Anolis sagrei: one gene and its partner. The protein of the gene in region 1 interacts with the protein of each later gene in a pairwise test. Links are inferred from orthologs where the notes say so. Each region holds a gene or a part of one and is shown in the gene's direction. Other genes may lie near its edges.

Evidence for each region. The genes of interacting proteins can lie anywhere in the genome.
Region 2: the proteins of EXOC8 (region 1) and WASHC1 interact in binary tests that used the Homo sapiens proteins (3 or more experiments, as listed by UniProt). The link is inferred for Anolis sagrei from reciprocal best matches to the Homo sapiens genes EXOC8 and WASHC1.

The regions. Positions count from the first base shown.
Region 1 is NC_090021.1:60,851,567-60,858,778, forward strand, and holds the start of EXOC8 (exocyst complex component 8), read left to right. Parts: upstream 1-4,035; 5' UTR 4,036-4,133; coding exon 4,134-5,693; intron 5,694-7,212. Other genes in the region: DNA-dependent metalloprotease SPRTN, read right to left, coding at 249-377, 2,366-2,465, 3,624-3,925. UniProt on the Homo sapiens protein: Component of the exocyst complex involved in the docking of exocytic vesicles with fusion sites on the plasma membrane.
Region 2 is NC_090025.1:177,533,664-177,541,864, reverse strand, and holds the start of WASHC1 (WASH complex subunit 1), read left to right. Parts: upstream 1-5,121; 5' UTR 5,122-5,237; intron 5,238-8,201. UniProt on the Homo sapiens protein: Acts as a component of the WASH core complex that functions as a nucleation-promoting factor (NPF) at the surface of endosomes, where it recruits and activates the Arp2/3 complex to induce actin polymerization, playing a key role in the fission of tubules that serve as transport intermediates during endosome sorting.

The DNA.
Region 1 (7,212 bases):
CTTAAAAGTTGCAATCTAATAGTAAGCTTCATACAGTTAAATGACAAACTGTATAGTGTTAATATAAACAGTATAGTGTTGTTCTGTGCCTTCAAGTCACTTCAGAATTAGGATGATCCTAAATCTAAAGTTTAGGGCGGGGTCCAGGTAAATTACATTGGAGGGCTGCATCCAGCCTGCGGACCTTAGTTTGGGAACTAATCTGTTGTACTTCAAGCATTGAGAAGTGCCTTACAAATAATGTTTACCGTAATATTTGTGCCAGTTAAGCGATTTATCCGATCCATGTGTTTGCAGAACTCCGGGCCATGAGAATCGTGATCTTTGTCATTATAAGTGACAAACAACAGAGCATGAATCATTTCATGTAAAAGAGTCTGAAATTTTTAAAAAATCATTGGATTAGTTGAAATGTTTATTTCTTAAGCAATAAGAAATAGTTATCTACAATTGGCTTAAAACAGAGATGGGCTGCACCAGTTTAAAATAAACACTTAAAATGTTTCCTTCCATTTTTCTCATTCTCTGGCATTGTTCGTTGTAATCAATATGGCCTTTAACTAAAATCAAAATGCTACAGCTGGCAAACGAGGAGAGGAACAAAGAAGGAGGCAGGAGCTCAAAATCACTCCCAGCTTTATAAGAAGTCAGATTTGTTAGTCTGACCTGAGAATTTGTTTGACCTGACACACAAGTCCATAAATGAGGTGGGCAAGAGTGAACACATGTCTGACTGTGACAACTGTGTGATCTACTACAGTTGGGTGAGAGATACTTCCTCTCTTTAGACTTTTTCTACACACTGGGATTGTATTACTTTAAAGGGCTTCTTAATTTTTGTCAGATCAGAAATGTTATTCTATGATTTTCCTGAAGCTAAAATGTGAGGGAATTTATTTATTTATTTATTTAAGACATTTATATGCCACCCTTCTCACCCCGAAGGGGACTTAGAGTGGCTTACAAGACATATATATATATATACAATATATTATTAGCATAGTACAATATCAGTATTATATATTACTATATTGTACTATACCATTATATTGTAATATTACTAGTAACATCACATGTAATATAAAATATATAATTATATCATATTGTTAGTAGTATTATTATATTGTATTACATTATAATATTATAAATATTATATGTATATACAATATAGTACACTACATTATATTATATTATTAGCATAGCACAGGAAACAAGGTAAAACTGTCTTCTGGCCCCCTCTCTCTTCACTCTGGCCCAGAGCAGCAATTGGTGCTGGGGGAGTGGTCCCTAACTGATGACAAATGCAGGAGACAAGATGGAACTGTCCCCCCCCCCCCTTCACTCTGGCCCAGAGCAGCAGTTGGTGCTGGGAGGAGGGGTCCCCAACTGATGACATGAGGGCTTATTGTTAATATTTTTGTTGTTTTTGAATACAACAAATTACATCAAAACAAAAAAATTCCACCGTGAGCATTTCATTTTGTAATGCTTCTCCTTCTGTAAGTTTCAAAGGTAAAAGATCTGAGAAGCATATTTCTTTGAAATCAAAGTTAAAATATTTTCAATATGCTACATGCATCACACCCACCTTACTTTTTGACAGCTGCTCAAATCACTGGATCCTCTCATTTTAGAGCAATGGTTCCCAACTTTTAGTCTGACAGGTGCTTCAGACTTCAGTTCTTATAATTCCAAACAGCTGGTAAGCTGGCTAAGATTTCTGGAAGTTGAAGTCCAAAACACCTGGAGGACCAAAGGTTGGAAATCACTGTTCTAGAGGATCAAAAATCACTTACAAAATACAGAGTACTACCTTGAGTACAGCTATGCCTCTAAACATCTAAGAACACCAAAAACATTAAAAGCAAAATACACTTTTCAGTCACAAATGCAGTCACGTTATCTAGCAGAGGGAGGGCAAATTTCATAGAATCACAGCCTTCTTAGTAACTGGTGGGAAGGAGTGAGAGAGCTGAACAACAACTCCATACAGATGACATCTGACCCCAAAACTCCAGATGATCTCTCCCAGTGGCTTCATGTAAATGTTAAACAACATAGGGGGGAATACTGATCCCTAGGGGACCCCACAAGTCAATGGTTGTGAAGTAAAGCAGTTGTCCCCCATCAACACCTTTTGGGAACGACCCTCAAGGAACAAAGATAAATGATCTGTTTGTTCTTATGTTGAGGCCGAACAAACTCATATCAAATAGGACATCAAACATAAATGCTCATGTGAGGAGCTAGATAACTATTCATTCAAGGGCCTTCTGGACATATTTGAATGTTCAGGCATGCTAGCTACAATAAATTTACTACAGTTTGTTTGATGTTTCTCTACAAAGACAACCATCAACAGTACCTCTACAAGATCCTTTCTCGGTCGCAGCTTTAGAAGGGGCTCACTAAGTCGAATGGAGCACATTCCACCACGGCCTTCATAGCAGCAAACTCCTGCACATCTAGAAAATAATAAATCACAAACAACAAACATTTGCTTTCAACTGCAACTTGGCTGTTCTGTATTCATAATGCATTAGGGTTCTTACCTTGTTTGAAATAGAAGGTTGGACGATTGTTCTCCTTGGGGGTAAATAATCAGGACTTTTCTCTTTTACAGTAATTTGTTAGAAAATTTAAGATTGTGATTAGTGCCTATTTTTTTCAACACGTTTATTGATCAACAAGGGGAAGCTGTAGCCAAATATTAGTGTGAAAGTGGATACAATCTAATAAGTGTTGTTAGAGTAATGTCAGGTTCAGACATTGGGGAGCAAAAGGTAGGCATGATATAAGAGTTAGGTGTTAACTTGGATCCATAAGTCAATACTAAAAAGTAACTTTAAGGAGATAGACTCCATGTAAAACTTATTCCAGCAACAGAAATCACCTAGGATATTAAACAGCCTGGTTTCCAGGCCTATCTGAATTCGGCTACCCACTCCTGAGGTCTTTTATTCACAAAGGTTTCCTTACTTCTGAGATTCCTCTGCTCCCAAGAAAGATGACTCTTCTAGGGCTTAAGATGCATGTATCACTGACAGTAATTGCCAATGGCTGCATGTTCTTACTTGGACATTTCCTGCATGTAGCTAGATCATTCCTTCCATAAAAGATTGCTCCAGGCACTGCCAGGCAATCAAATGCTAATCAAGGTGGTCAGCTGAAACATTCACACCTAGCTCCAGCAGACAAGAGTCCTTTGTCTCACCCTGGTCATTCCACAGATATATAAACCCTTTTTCCTAGTTCCAACAGACCTCACTACCTCTGAGGATGCTTGCCATCGATGCAGGCGAAACGTCAGGAGAAATGCCTCTAGAACATATAGCCCGAAAAAACCTACAACATCCAGCTAGTATGAGAATTCTGGGATTGTGGTTTAATCTGAAAAGGAACATTTTAGTCCAGACTTGAGAGCCAAGGGTAGTTCTGACTACTGAACTATGCCTTGGGGAGGTGGTTGGACTGGATGGCCCACGAGGTCTCTTCCAACTCTATGATTCTATTGAAAGTTTCCCCACGCCTGGGCTAAGCCAACCCCTTAAAAGAGGTAAGGACACAGCCATAAATCCGAATAAGAAAATGTGTGGGGCACAACGTGTCCCATGAAACCGTACAGCGTCATGCGGGGGCTCCACTTCACCTCCACGGCCTCCAGGGCCCCCCAAAAGAGGCTCTGGTTGAACTGCAGGAAGAGGCCTCGCACGTCCGGGCTGGGATCCAGCAGCTCCCAGCTCTCGTCCACCAGCGACAGCGGCCGTGCCGGCGAGGTGAAGGCTGGGCCGGCCTTGAGGGAGGCCCGTGCGCGGCCGCCCTCCTCCGCGTTCCACTCCTCTTGGAGCCGCAGCGCCAGCAAGAAGTCGCCGTCCATTGGAGCACAGCCTTTCGTTGAGCCCTCCGCCTTCAAATCCCGGCGCATGCGCCGTAAAGCCGAGGGTTTGTTGTCTTCCTGCCTCGGAGAGAGTCGCGCGCCTCGCGTCACTGCGGCGCGGCGCCTTGACGTTTTTTACGCAGCGGCGCACGTAAGCGGCCTTCCGGTCAGAGGCGGCCCCTGCTTCCGGCGCAGCGACGCCTTGCTTCCTCTCCCTCCTCGGCGAAGGCTGGTCTCTGGCGGCTCCGGCTCGGCCATGGCGCTGTCTCTGGGTGAGGTGGCTCCGGGCGGCGGCGGCGGAGGAGGAGCGGGAGGGAGCCGCTTGAGGCGGCAGCTGGAGTCCGGGAGCTACGCGGCCGAGGAGTACGTGAAGCAGCTCTCGCAGCAGTCGGACGGCGACCGGGACTTGCAGGAGCACCGCCAGCGCATCCAGGCCCTGAGCGAGGAGACGGCGCAGAGCCTGAAGCGCAACGTCTACCAGAACTACCGGCAGTTCATCGAGACGGCGCGCGAGATCAGCTACCTGGAGAGCGAGATGTACCAGCTCAGCCACATCCTCACCGAGCAGAAGGGCATCCTGGAGGCCGTCACCCAGGCGTTGCTGCTCCTCCAGGCCGACCGCGACGACAGAGCCGCCGGGGCTGCCTCCTCGGACCCGCACGCCAACCCCTTCCTGCCCCTCTCCGCCAAGGAGGCGGCAGCCAGCGAGGAGGGCCGCCAGCGCACCCTGACCACCCTCCTGGAGAAGGTGGAGGGCTGCCGCGACCTGCTTCCGGAGAGCCCCGGCAAGTACCTGGTATACAACGGGGACCTGGTGGAGTACGACGCCGACCACATGGTCCAGATTCAGAAGGTGCACGCCTTCCTGATGAACGACTGCCTGCTGGTGGCGGCCTGGCTGCCCAACCGCCGGGGCACTTACCGTTACGACGCCCTCTACCCACTGGACGGCCTGGCCGTCGTCAATGTCAAGGATAACCCGCCCATGAAGGACATGTTCAAGCTGCTCATGTTCCCCGAGAGCCGCATCTTCCAGGCCGAGAACGCTAAGATCAAGAAAGAGTGGCTGGAGGTGCTGGAGGAGACCAAGAGGAGCCGCGTGCTGAGCGAGAAGCGGAGGCTGGAACAGGAGGTGCCGGCAGCCCGTGCGCCTCCCCCAGCCCCTCCAGAGGCTACCAACCCCTTCGATGAGGATGAGGAGGAAAGTGGGGAAGGGGGGACCCCAGAGGAAGAAGTGGTGGATCTCTCCCTGGAGTGGATTCAGGAGTTGCCTGAAGACTTGGATGTCTGCATCGCTCAGAGAGACTTCGAAGGGGCGGTTGACTTGCTGGATAAGCTGAATGAGTATCTAGGGGATAAGCCCTTGACACAACCAGTCAGGGAGTTACGAGCAAAAGTGGATGAGAGAATCAGGCAGCTCACCGACGTGCTTGTGTTTGAGCTTTCTCCAGATAGGTCACTTCGAGGTGGGCCCAGAGCAACCCGTCGTGCTGTTTCTCAGCTCATCCGGTTGGGCCAGTCAACCAAGGCGTGCGAACTTTTCCTGCGGAACAGGGAAGCGGCCGTTCACACAGCCATCCGACAGTTGCGCATTGAAGGTGCCACTCTGCTGTACATTCACAAGCTGTGCCATGTCTTCTTCACCAGCCTGCTAGAGACCGCAAAGGAGTTTGAGACGGACTTTGCTGGCAACAGTGGGTGCTATTCGGCTTTTGTTGTCTGGGCTCGATCAGCAATGAGGATGTTTGTGGATGCGTTTAGCAAGCAGGTGTTTGACAGTAAGGAGAGCTTATCTACTGCTGCTGAGTGTGTAAAGGTAAGGGCCCAAAGTGATGAGATGGAAAAAAAACTGTGTTACCCTTAATTACATATCCTCTAGATCACAGCTTCATAAAACTTTGGGTCCCAACCTCAAGCGGGGTTCCCTTTGCTCAATGTTGGAGTCCAGAAACATTTGTCAGCAGTAAACGTTTTCTGAATGTCAGCTAGTGGGTGTTTTGACATTTGCACAAATCTGTTGTGCAGTGTTCACAGTAATTCTACAGAAGATGCTTCAGGTATAGTTCATAAAAAGGAAAATCAGCCTGTTTAGCAAGCCTCACAAGTGCTGATTTCTTCTCACATCTATTGATGCCTATTCTATATATTTGTGTACCCACAAAAAATTCTTAGGTCAAAAGGCGTCATGAGTGGAAACGTTTTCCAAATAGTGTCCTTGAATTTAGAAGCAACATGGAAGCAAAGTATTGAGTCATCTAGCCCAGCTTCCTGAGACAGGATATTATTTTTGTAGGCAGTTATTTATGATGGCCGTGGCTTTGTGTGGTTCACTCATCCCAATGCTCAGCATTACTCCAGTCATTTTTCCTGTTTTGCTTTCTTATGTTTTCTAAAGATCTATTGCTGTTTTTCACAGCAGGATAATACCTGTTTTTCTTGCCTTCCTAACACTAAAGAACCCCGCCCTTTTATCATTTAGTAGATGAGGGAGGACAAGTTATGTACAAACTCCCTCTGTAGCTTGGCTTTATCCCAAATGGTTTGTTCACATACAGAAGTGAGGGTGTGGCTTGCCTGCCGAAGAAAGGCAGTATGTACTGAAAAACGTAGCAGAGAATATAGGGACTAAACTTGCAAGTGGTTGCAATAGTCAGGACAACCTAGCACTTTGAGCACTTAGTTTAATCGCATCTGGAAATTATTGGATGGGTAGAATTATATCCCAACACCACTCCTTTCTCTTCAATTCTTAGCACTGTGGAGTGTGTTAAAGATTGTCTTTTTCTTATGGCTGGAATGGTGGCAGAAATAGAAATAAATGCAGAGTCATGTACTGCTTTCTGCTTTCATGGCAGGTTTCTATTTACAAACTAATGTTAAAGATTTATGGACCTGACATGGCTCAAATTAATGTTGACTGTGCTATTTTGAAATTGATGCAGAAAGCATGTTGAAATTGACATGAGACCTATCACTTTAGGTAAATTTAGTCACAATTATTTTGTTCTATTCTTGTTAAGGGAATTAGGCACAATTCAAGTTTGTTGAAGACCGGCATAGTTCTCTAAGGTGGGGGTGGGGGTTAATCTCTCCTTGAATCTCTATTTTGAGAGAAAGCAGAATAAAAATGAAGCAGAATAAAGCAGAATAAAATGAATAAAATTTTGGGTTAAACCGAGAGAGAAGCTACATATGTTGGCTTCCTTCTAGTGAAATGAAATTCTCCATTTGGGTATTTCCTAGGAGTAATTACTACATATTCTAAGAATATGTCATGAAATCCAAGACCCAAATAAACTATTCTTAAAGGATAACTATCAAATGGTCTTTTAAAA
Region 2 (8,201 bases), on another chromosome or scaffold:
CTGCCCTTCGATTTACCTTCTACAGACATGACAAACAAGGAAAGGGTATGGTGGCATGTCCAGCAGAAACTGCCTCTTCTTCTCTCCCTTCATGGCCAGGATAGTGGCAGCCAGGATGAAAGTAGGACCTTCCATCTTCTTCTGGGCTATAGCATGATGGGCCTGCCTCTCCCTTCCTTTCTTTGAGACCGGGCAGTGGCAGTTGGATAGAGGTACGGCTTATCAACTGCTTCTGGGAATAGCTGTGATGGAACTATAGATGTCTCTCCATTCATGGCTATGGCAGTGGCAGCTGGGATGGAGGGAGGACCTTTCTTCTGCTTCTGCCTCTCCCTTTCTCTCTCTGAGGCCTCAGCAGAAGTTGGGATGGAAGAAGGACTTTTCATCTCTTTTTGGGCCAAAATACGATGGGATTGTGCTTGGCTCTTCTTATCTCCCTTGAGGCCAAGGCAGGAGAGTTGAGATAGAGGGAGAGACCATTCATCTCCTTTTGGGATAAGGCATGATGAAGATGTGCCTGTGGATTATCTTGGATCAGCGACTGCATATGAGCCTAGCCTCTTCCATAAAGATGAAAAAAATGTCAAGGAACCCTTTCTTAAGGTGCTTAGAGAGAAAAGGGCAGAATAAACAAGTAATAAATAAACCAAACTATTGCTGGATCTTTGCGCAGCAATTTAATATCAAGCCACAAATGACAGAACCTACAATAATATTATTAATAGAAAAATACTGAGGTTGCACACCATTCAACATTTCTCAGATGAAAATGGGATTTATGTGGCTGAATAACTTCAGATTGTGTCAAGCTAGTGAAAGGTAAGAAAAAGGAAGAACACACAAGCTAGGATCAACCTGTAATAGTTTGCCTTCCCTGAGTCTTCAGGGAAGGGCAGGATTCTGCCCACATCTCTCTTCTCCACCTGCTGAGTGAACTGAGAGTAAACTACTTTTCAATGTTGTATTCGGTTTGTAGCAAATGAAGAAAGTTGAAGGAAGGGAGAAGTAGAAAGAAACTGGGACGTTTTAAAAGATTCTGAAAAAATGAGATGACACAGGATTAATTTTAACTGTCCTTGCTAAATGGGGACAGTCGAGGGATATGAGACTGATTCGCATAAAAAAAACTTTTTTAGTGCATGTACAATGTAGAAATGGTGTGAATCTCAGTGTCTGTTTCACTGAGTATAAAACTTGTGGAAACCACATTTGGTTCCTATTTTTGCCACAGTTTGTGTAATGCCCTCTCACTTGGAGGACAGAGGACTGCTGGTGTTGACTTAAAAAATAAAACATTATTAAATGTATCTTTTCCAACATGTACATGTGCCCAATTTTAAACTGCTTTAATTTTTTAAACTGTTTTAAGTTGTTAAATTGTTTAACATGCTTCATGTTAATTTAAATTACCTTTTTGTTTTAAGTTCTGCACTGTTTCAAATGGCTTACATGGTTTTTCCTTGCACGCCAGCCTGAGGTTCAGTGATACAAGGCCAGATAAAATAGTTCAATAACACAAATAAAGAAGTACACGCACCTCTCTGATTTGTCCTTCTGGAATTATGGTGACCAGCCCTATATCAAAATAGAATAGATGAGTCATTGCAGTCTAATCCTACCAAAAATGGGATAAGCTTTGAGCCATGACATATATTTATTATCCACTACTACTTTGACATCTTTTTTTCAGATGCTGCCAAACTAATTATGGTTTGTTGTGTACTTATGCATCTTGTTATTTTTAAGTATAACACAAATCATCATTGATAAATTAAACCATGTAGCTATCGGTTCAGTGCTCCAGTTTAATGATATCATTCTGGGTTATACTTCAAATAACTCTTCCATAATGAAAAATGACCAGCTTCAAGTACAAATTGGCACTGCTCCACAAAGCAACCCTTTAATTCTTAGATCCCTACCATTTATAAAAGTTAAAGGTTTCCCCTGGCATTAAGTCTAATCACATTCGACTCGGGAGTTGGTGCTCATCTCCATTTCTAAGCCAAAGAGCTGGCATTGTCCGTAGACACCTCCAAGGTCATGTGGCCAGCATGACTGCAGGGAACACCATTATATGCCGGCAAGAGAAAGCTTAAACATAGGATTCACCAGGTCCATACATAAACTGTGAACTCATAGGCCCTGTCCACACTGCCATATAATTCAGTTTGAATTGCATTATATGGCAGTGAAGACAGCCATATTACACAGTTCAATTGCATTATATAGCAGTGTTGATGTGGCCATTGCTATCTCATAGCAGCAAAGACTAGTTAAACATTCAGGAAAAGCAATGAGTAACAAAGTACTTAAAATGCATTCTGAAATCAAACATAATCTCCAACATGTCACAGATGCAAACTGGGACAGATATGATCCAGAATATGTGGTCTAGATAGCAAAAGTTAATGAATAAATACAAATGAGCTAGGATAGGTTGCAGCAGTTTACTTTTGCCATTGCTCTTTCTGAGCTGGTCGCAAACTGCTTTTGGACTTTGCACTCCGTTTGTGGCCATTGAAGTAAGCTGAGGACAAAGGAGGGGAGTGGTTGTCTTGCTTGCATGCTGCAAGTTGCCTCTAGTCGCTTCTGGGGTGAGAGAATCAGCCGTCTACGAAGACGTTGCCCAGGGGACGCCCGGATGTCTTGCAATCCTGCGAGGAGGCTTCTCTCATGTCCCCCAGAAGGGGAGTGAAAGGAGGTGAGAAAAACTGGGACACTTTTAAAACAGCTGAAAACATATAAGGACAGAGGACTACATGGGACTCTCCTTGCCAAAGTGGAACAGTTGGAGAGCATAAACTAAAGCTGAAATGGATTACATCACTAAACACTGATATGTATCCTTTCTAGCAAAAAAAATCATCATATTATCTGTTGTCGAAGGCTTTCGTGGCCAGAATCATCGGGTTGCTGTGAGTTTTCTGGGCTATATGGCCATATTCCAGAAACATTGTCTCTTGACGTTTCACCCACATCTATGGCAGGCATCCTCTGAGGTTGTGAGGTCTGTTGGAAACTAGGCAAGTGAGATTTATATATTTGTGGAATGTCCAGGGTGGGAGAAAGAACTCTTGTCTGGGTTGATGTAGTTTTTTCCGGGCTATATGGCCATGTTCTAGTGGCATTTTCTCCTGACGTTTCGCCTGCATCTATGGCAAGCATCCTCAGAGGTAGTGAGGTCTGTTGGAATTAGGACAATGGGTTTATATATCTGTGGAATGACCAGGGTGGGACGAAGGACTTTTGTCTGCTGGAGTTAGGTTTGAATGTTTCAACTGACCACCTTGATTAGCATTTAATGGCTTGGAAGTGCCTGGGGGGATCTTTTGTTGAGTGGTGATTTGATGTGCCTGATTGTTTACTCTCTGTTGTTTTGCTGTTGTAATTTTAGAGTTTTTTAATACTGGTAGCCAGATTTTGTTCATTTTCATGGTTTCTTCCTTTCTGTTGAAATTGTCCACATGCTTGTGTATTTCAATGGCTTCTCTGTGTAGTCTGACATGGTGGTTGTGAGGGTGGTCCAGCACTTCTGTGTTCTCAAATAATATGCTGTGTCCAGGTTGGTTCATCAGGTGCTCTGCTATGGCTGACTTCTCTGGTTGGAGTAGTCTGCAGTGCCTTTCATGTTCCTTGATTCGTGTTTGGGCAGTGCTGCGTTTGGTGGTCCCTATGTAGACTTGTCCACAGCTGCATGGAATACGGTAGACTCCTGCAGAGGTGAGAGGATCCCTCTTGTCCTTTGCTGAACGTAGCATTTGTTGGATGTTCTTGGTGGGTCTGTAGGTGGTTTGTATGTTGTGTTTCCTCATCAGCTTCCCTATGCGGTCAGTGGTTCCCTTGATGTATAGCAAGAACACTTTTCTTCTGGGTGGATCTTCATCTTTACTCTTGTAGCTGATGGGAAGCTGATGAGGAAACACAACATACAAACCACCTACAGACCAAGAAAACCCAAAATCTGGCTACCAGTATTAAAAAACTGATTCTGGCCATGAAAGCCTTCGACAATACACTGAACTCTTGTCTGTTGGAGGCCGATGTGAATGTTGCAGTTGGCCAACTTGATTAACCTTGAATAGCCTTGCAGCTCCAAAACCTGCTGTCAAGCCAGGCATCCCCCATTCTGTATCTTCTATCTATCTATCTATCTATCTATCTATCTATGTATTGCTGATTAGATATCTTGGTATAAGCAAGACTTGACTCTGAAGAAGCTGGGGGTGGCGACGGCCAACAGGGAGCTCTGGCGTGGGCTGGTCCATGAGTTCATGAAGAGTTGGAAGCAACTAAACGATTAAACATCTTGCTATAACCAAGACTTGACTTGACTCTGAAGGAGCTGAGGGTGGCGACGGCCAACAGGGAGCTCTGGCGTGGGCTGGTCCATGAGTTCATGAAGAGTTGGAAGCAACTGAACGATTAAACATCTTGCTATAACCAAGACTTGACTCTGAAGGAGCTGGGGGTGGCGACGGCCAACAGGGAGCTCTGGCGTGGGCTGGTCCATGAGTTCATGAAGAGTTGGAAGCAACTGAACGATTAAACATATTGCTATAACCAAGACTTGACTCTGAAGGAGCTGGGGGTGGCGACGGCCATCAGGGAGCTCTGGCGTGGGCTGGTCCATGAGGTCATGAAGAGTCAGAAGCAACTGAACGATTAAACATCTTGCTATAAGCAAGACTTGACTTGACTCTGAAGGAGCTGGGGGTGGCGACGGCCAACAGGGAGCTCTGGCGTGGGCTGGTCCATGAGTTCATGAAGAGTTGGAAGCCACTGAACGAATAAACAACAACGAAAGGACAATCCTCGTTGGCATACACTGTGTTTCCAATTCCCAACCCCCAAACCAACCCTTTCTATAGTATTTTCTGGCATCTACAAATTGAAGAAGGGAGTTAAGAGTCCATTAAAGTTTTCACAACTCAGTAGAGGCAATCCTATTGTAGACTTCTCCAAGGACAAATCCCACTGAACTCAAAGCAGAGCTGAGTACATGTGAAACTCCCTACAACCAGCAAGCAACGGGCTGGCAACGAGTGGGGAATACGTTCCCTTTCTGAGCATAGGGAGGACCCGTAGGAAAGTGACGTCAAGCGAGGGCGGAAGTGGGCGTCATGCGGGAAGCTTTGCGGGCGGAAAGGGAGACGAGGTGTGGGCGGAAGTGCCGTTTCCTGGAGAGCGCCGTCGCCTTGGTTGCAAGGGGGGTTCGAGGTGCCGCCTCATTCCAGGTGAGAAGCAGGCGGGGATTCTTCCCTCTCTGACTTGGTTGCCTTCTTCCTTCCCAAAGGGAGAGCCGAGGCTTTCTTCTCCCTCAGAGCTTTGAGAAGAGGTGCATCTACACTGTAGAATGAATGCAGTTTGACACCACTTGAACTCCCATGGCTGAATGCTGTGGGGTCATGGGAATTGGAGTTTGGTGAGGCGCCAGCCCTCTTAGAGAAAGCAAAAGGCCTTGTAAAACTATTGCCACTTTTAACTGCTATGGCTCAAAGCTGTAGAGTTATGGGAGTTGTAGTTTTACAAGGTTTTTGGCCTTCTTTGGCAGAGAGTGCTGGTGCAGCACCAAACTTCAACTCCCCAAATTAACATGGCAGTTCAAGTGGTGTCAAACTGCATTAATATAGAGTGTAGATCAGTCATGAGCCAACTTGGGCCCTTTAGGTGTTTTGGACTTCAACTCCCACCATTCCTAACAGTCTCAGGCCTTTTCCTTTCCCCCCTCAGCCGCTTAAGGAAGAGGCCTGAGGCTGTTAGGAATGGCCACTTGGGAGTGCCTCTGGTGTTGCTGCAAAAAGGTCCTCCATAATGCATGTGACACTGGGCATGCATACTCAGCAGCAGAGTAGCATAGCGCAAGGGCAGATGTCTTCACTGTATCTGGTTGTGATCCCCAAGTTGTGCCAGTCAGCTTTCGTATGATATTATTTCAAGCACCCACTTTTTGCTTGATACTCAGGCAGTGCTTCTTGTAGGTCAGGGCATGGTCCAGAGTGACTCCCAGGTATTTGGGTGTGCTGCAATGCTCCAGTGGGATTCCTTCCCAGGTAATCCTCAGAGCTTGGGATGCTTGTCTGCTATTGAGGTGAAAAGCACATGTCTGTGTTTTAGATGGATTAGGGATCAGCTGGTTTTCCCTGTAATAGGCAGTAAGAGCACCTAGAGCTTCTGAGAGCCTTTGTTCAACCATTTCAAAGCTCCCTGCTTGAGCGGTAATGACACGATCATCTGCATAGATGAAACTCTCTGTCTCTTCTGGCAGTGGCTGGTCATTTGTGTAAATGATGAAGATTGATGGAGCAAGCACGCTCTATTGTTTCTAGTGATTTAATGTTATGTTTTATTTGGTTTGTATAATGAGACATTGAATTTTTGCTTAGATGCATGTTGTTAGTCACCTGCAGGTTGAGAAGGGCAGGATAGAAATGAATAATTTGTTTATTGCAGTGCTGACACATTAGCTATCAATTGGGGGGGGGGGGTGGCTGTAGATCTAATTTGTTATTCTGTATTGTTCTCACACCATGGTTGGGTTTGTGTGTTCATTCCTCTCCTTAGACAGGAAGCATTTCCTTCCATTGTCAGCTAACAGCAGTTTTGCATTGCGTCTTAACTTGACAAACTGCTTAGTTGTAATATCAACTTTACAAAACAAGCCAGAATTGGATTTCAGTTTCTGATGCTGTTGGTGTGTGTTAGTAAACTGTTGTTTTGATTCATTTGGAACGAGCCTGTAGTCATTTCGAATACTAACTGTGATTGGTTAAAAGGAGAATGCATGTTTCTGATCTTTTTGTGTCTATACTGGATTATGCAGGGAGATTTTAGTTTCACACCATCTGAGGATGCCTTCCATAGATGTGGGCAAAACACCAGAAGATAATGCTTCTGGAACATAGCCATACAGTCCAGAAAACTTGCAGCAACTCAAATTTTAGTTTGTTACATCCGAGCACTTCCAGAGAAGCTGTTTTGTAAAAAAAAAATAAAAAAAAAATACAGAACCCATGATAGGAAAGAAAGCTTGTGCAATAATAAGCCAATCAATTAATCATGAGTCATTAGTCCCGAGTTCAACTGAAAACATATCTCTTCATATAGGATCTGAGCATATTGTAAGCTACGCCTCTTAAAGTCTGTGAGCCACATATTCTGTGAGAGAGAGGAGGTCCATGGACTGGTGCCAGTCTATATCCTATCCACTGCTGGTTCACAGTTAATTTCCAAGAAAGAAAGGAGGAGGCGTTGTCATGTGGTGCCATGTGATGCTAGTCCCACACATTAAGCAATACAGAGAGCACTGCTATAGGATACTAGCACATTCCCTTATTTCAGAGGAATCCTAACACGAAGCCCTTAATGTAGATGCAAATTAACTCTATCAAATCTTTCTGTATCAGCTATTTTAAATACAAGGCACCTCACAATTACCCCTTAGTTAGTTGGGAATGCACGTCATGCAACTCTGTGTCAGGATTGTACTGTCCTTCTCTAATGGCTTATGTACTTGATTAATCCTTCTAAATGTATCCAATTGGAGTGGTTTGGAACCACTCCCAGCTGGTGCTGTTTACACCTTTGGCTCTGCCTTTCATCTGTGGTCACTATGTTGAATGTGTAAATTAGTTTCCTCTACAGTGGATAGGAAGTGCAAAAAATCATACACGTTTTATATTCTATTTTTTAAAAATTTTTTGTTAATATAGACGTATGTTGGTAGTACGCATCTGCATGAAATGTCTGCCTATTTTATGGTGACACTGAGGGACAGTGGCTTTTAAAAGTTGTAACATTGCTGTATTGCTGTGGGAAAGGAAAAGAAACACCCAGAAATTAACAGAAATAGCCTCATAGAGTAACCCAGTTGGGAATGTATTTGAATGATCTTTTGATTTGGAACCACTGTTTGCAAGGCACTGATTTTAAGGTCTTCTACAACTGAAGACCAGTTGCGCAGTGGGTTAAACCACTGAGCTGCTGAACTTGCTGACTGGTAAGATTGGCAGTTCGAATCTGGGGAGCGGGGTAAGCTCCTGCTGTTAAGCCCAGCTTCTGCCGACCTAGCAGTTCAGAAACATGCAAATGTGAGTAGATCAATAGGTACCACTTTGACGTGAAGGTAATGGCACTCCATGCAGTCATGCTAGCCACATGACCTTAGAGATGTCTATGGACAATGCTGGCTATTCGGCTTA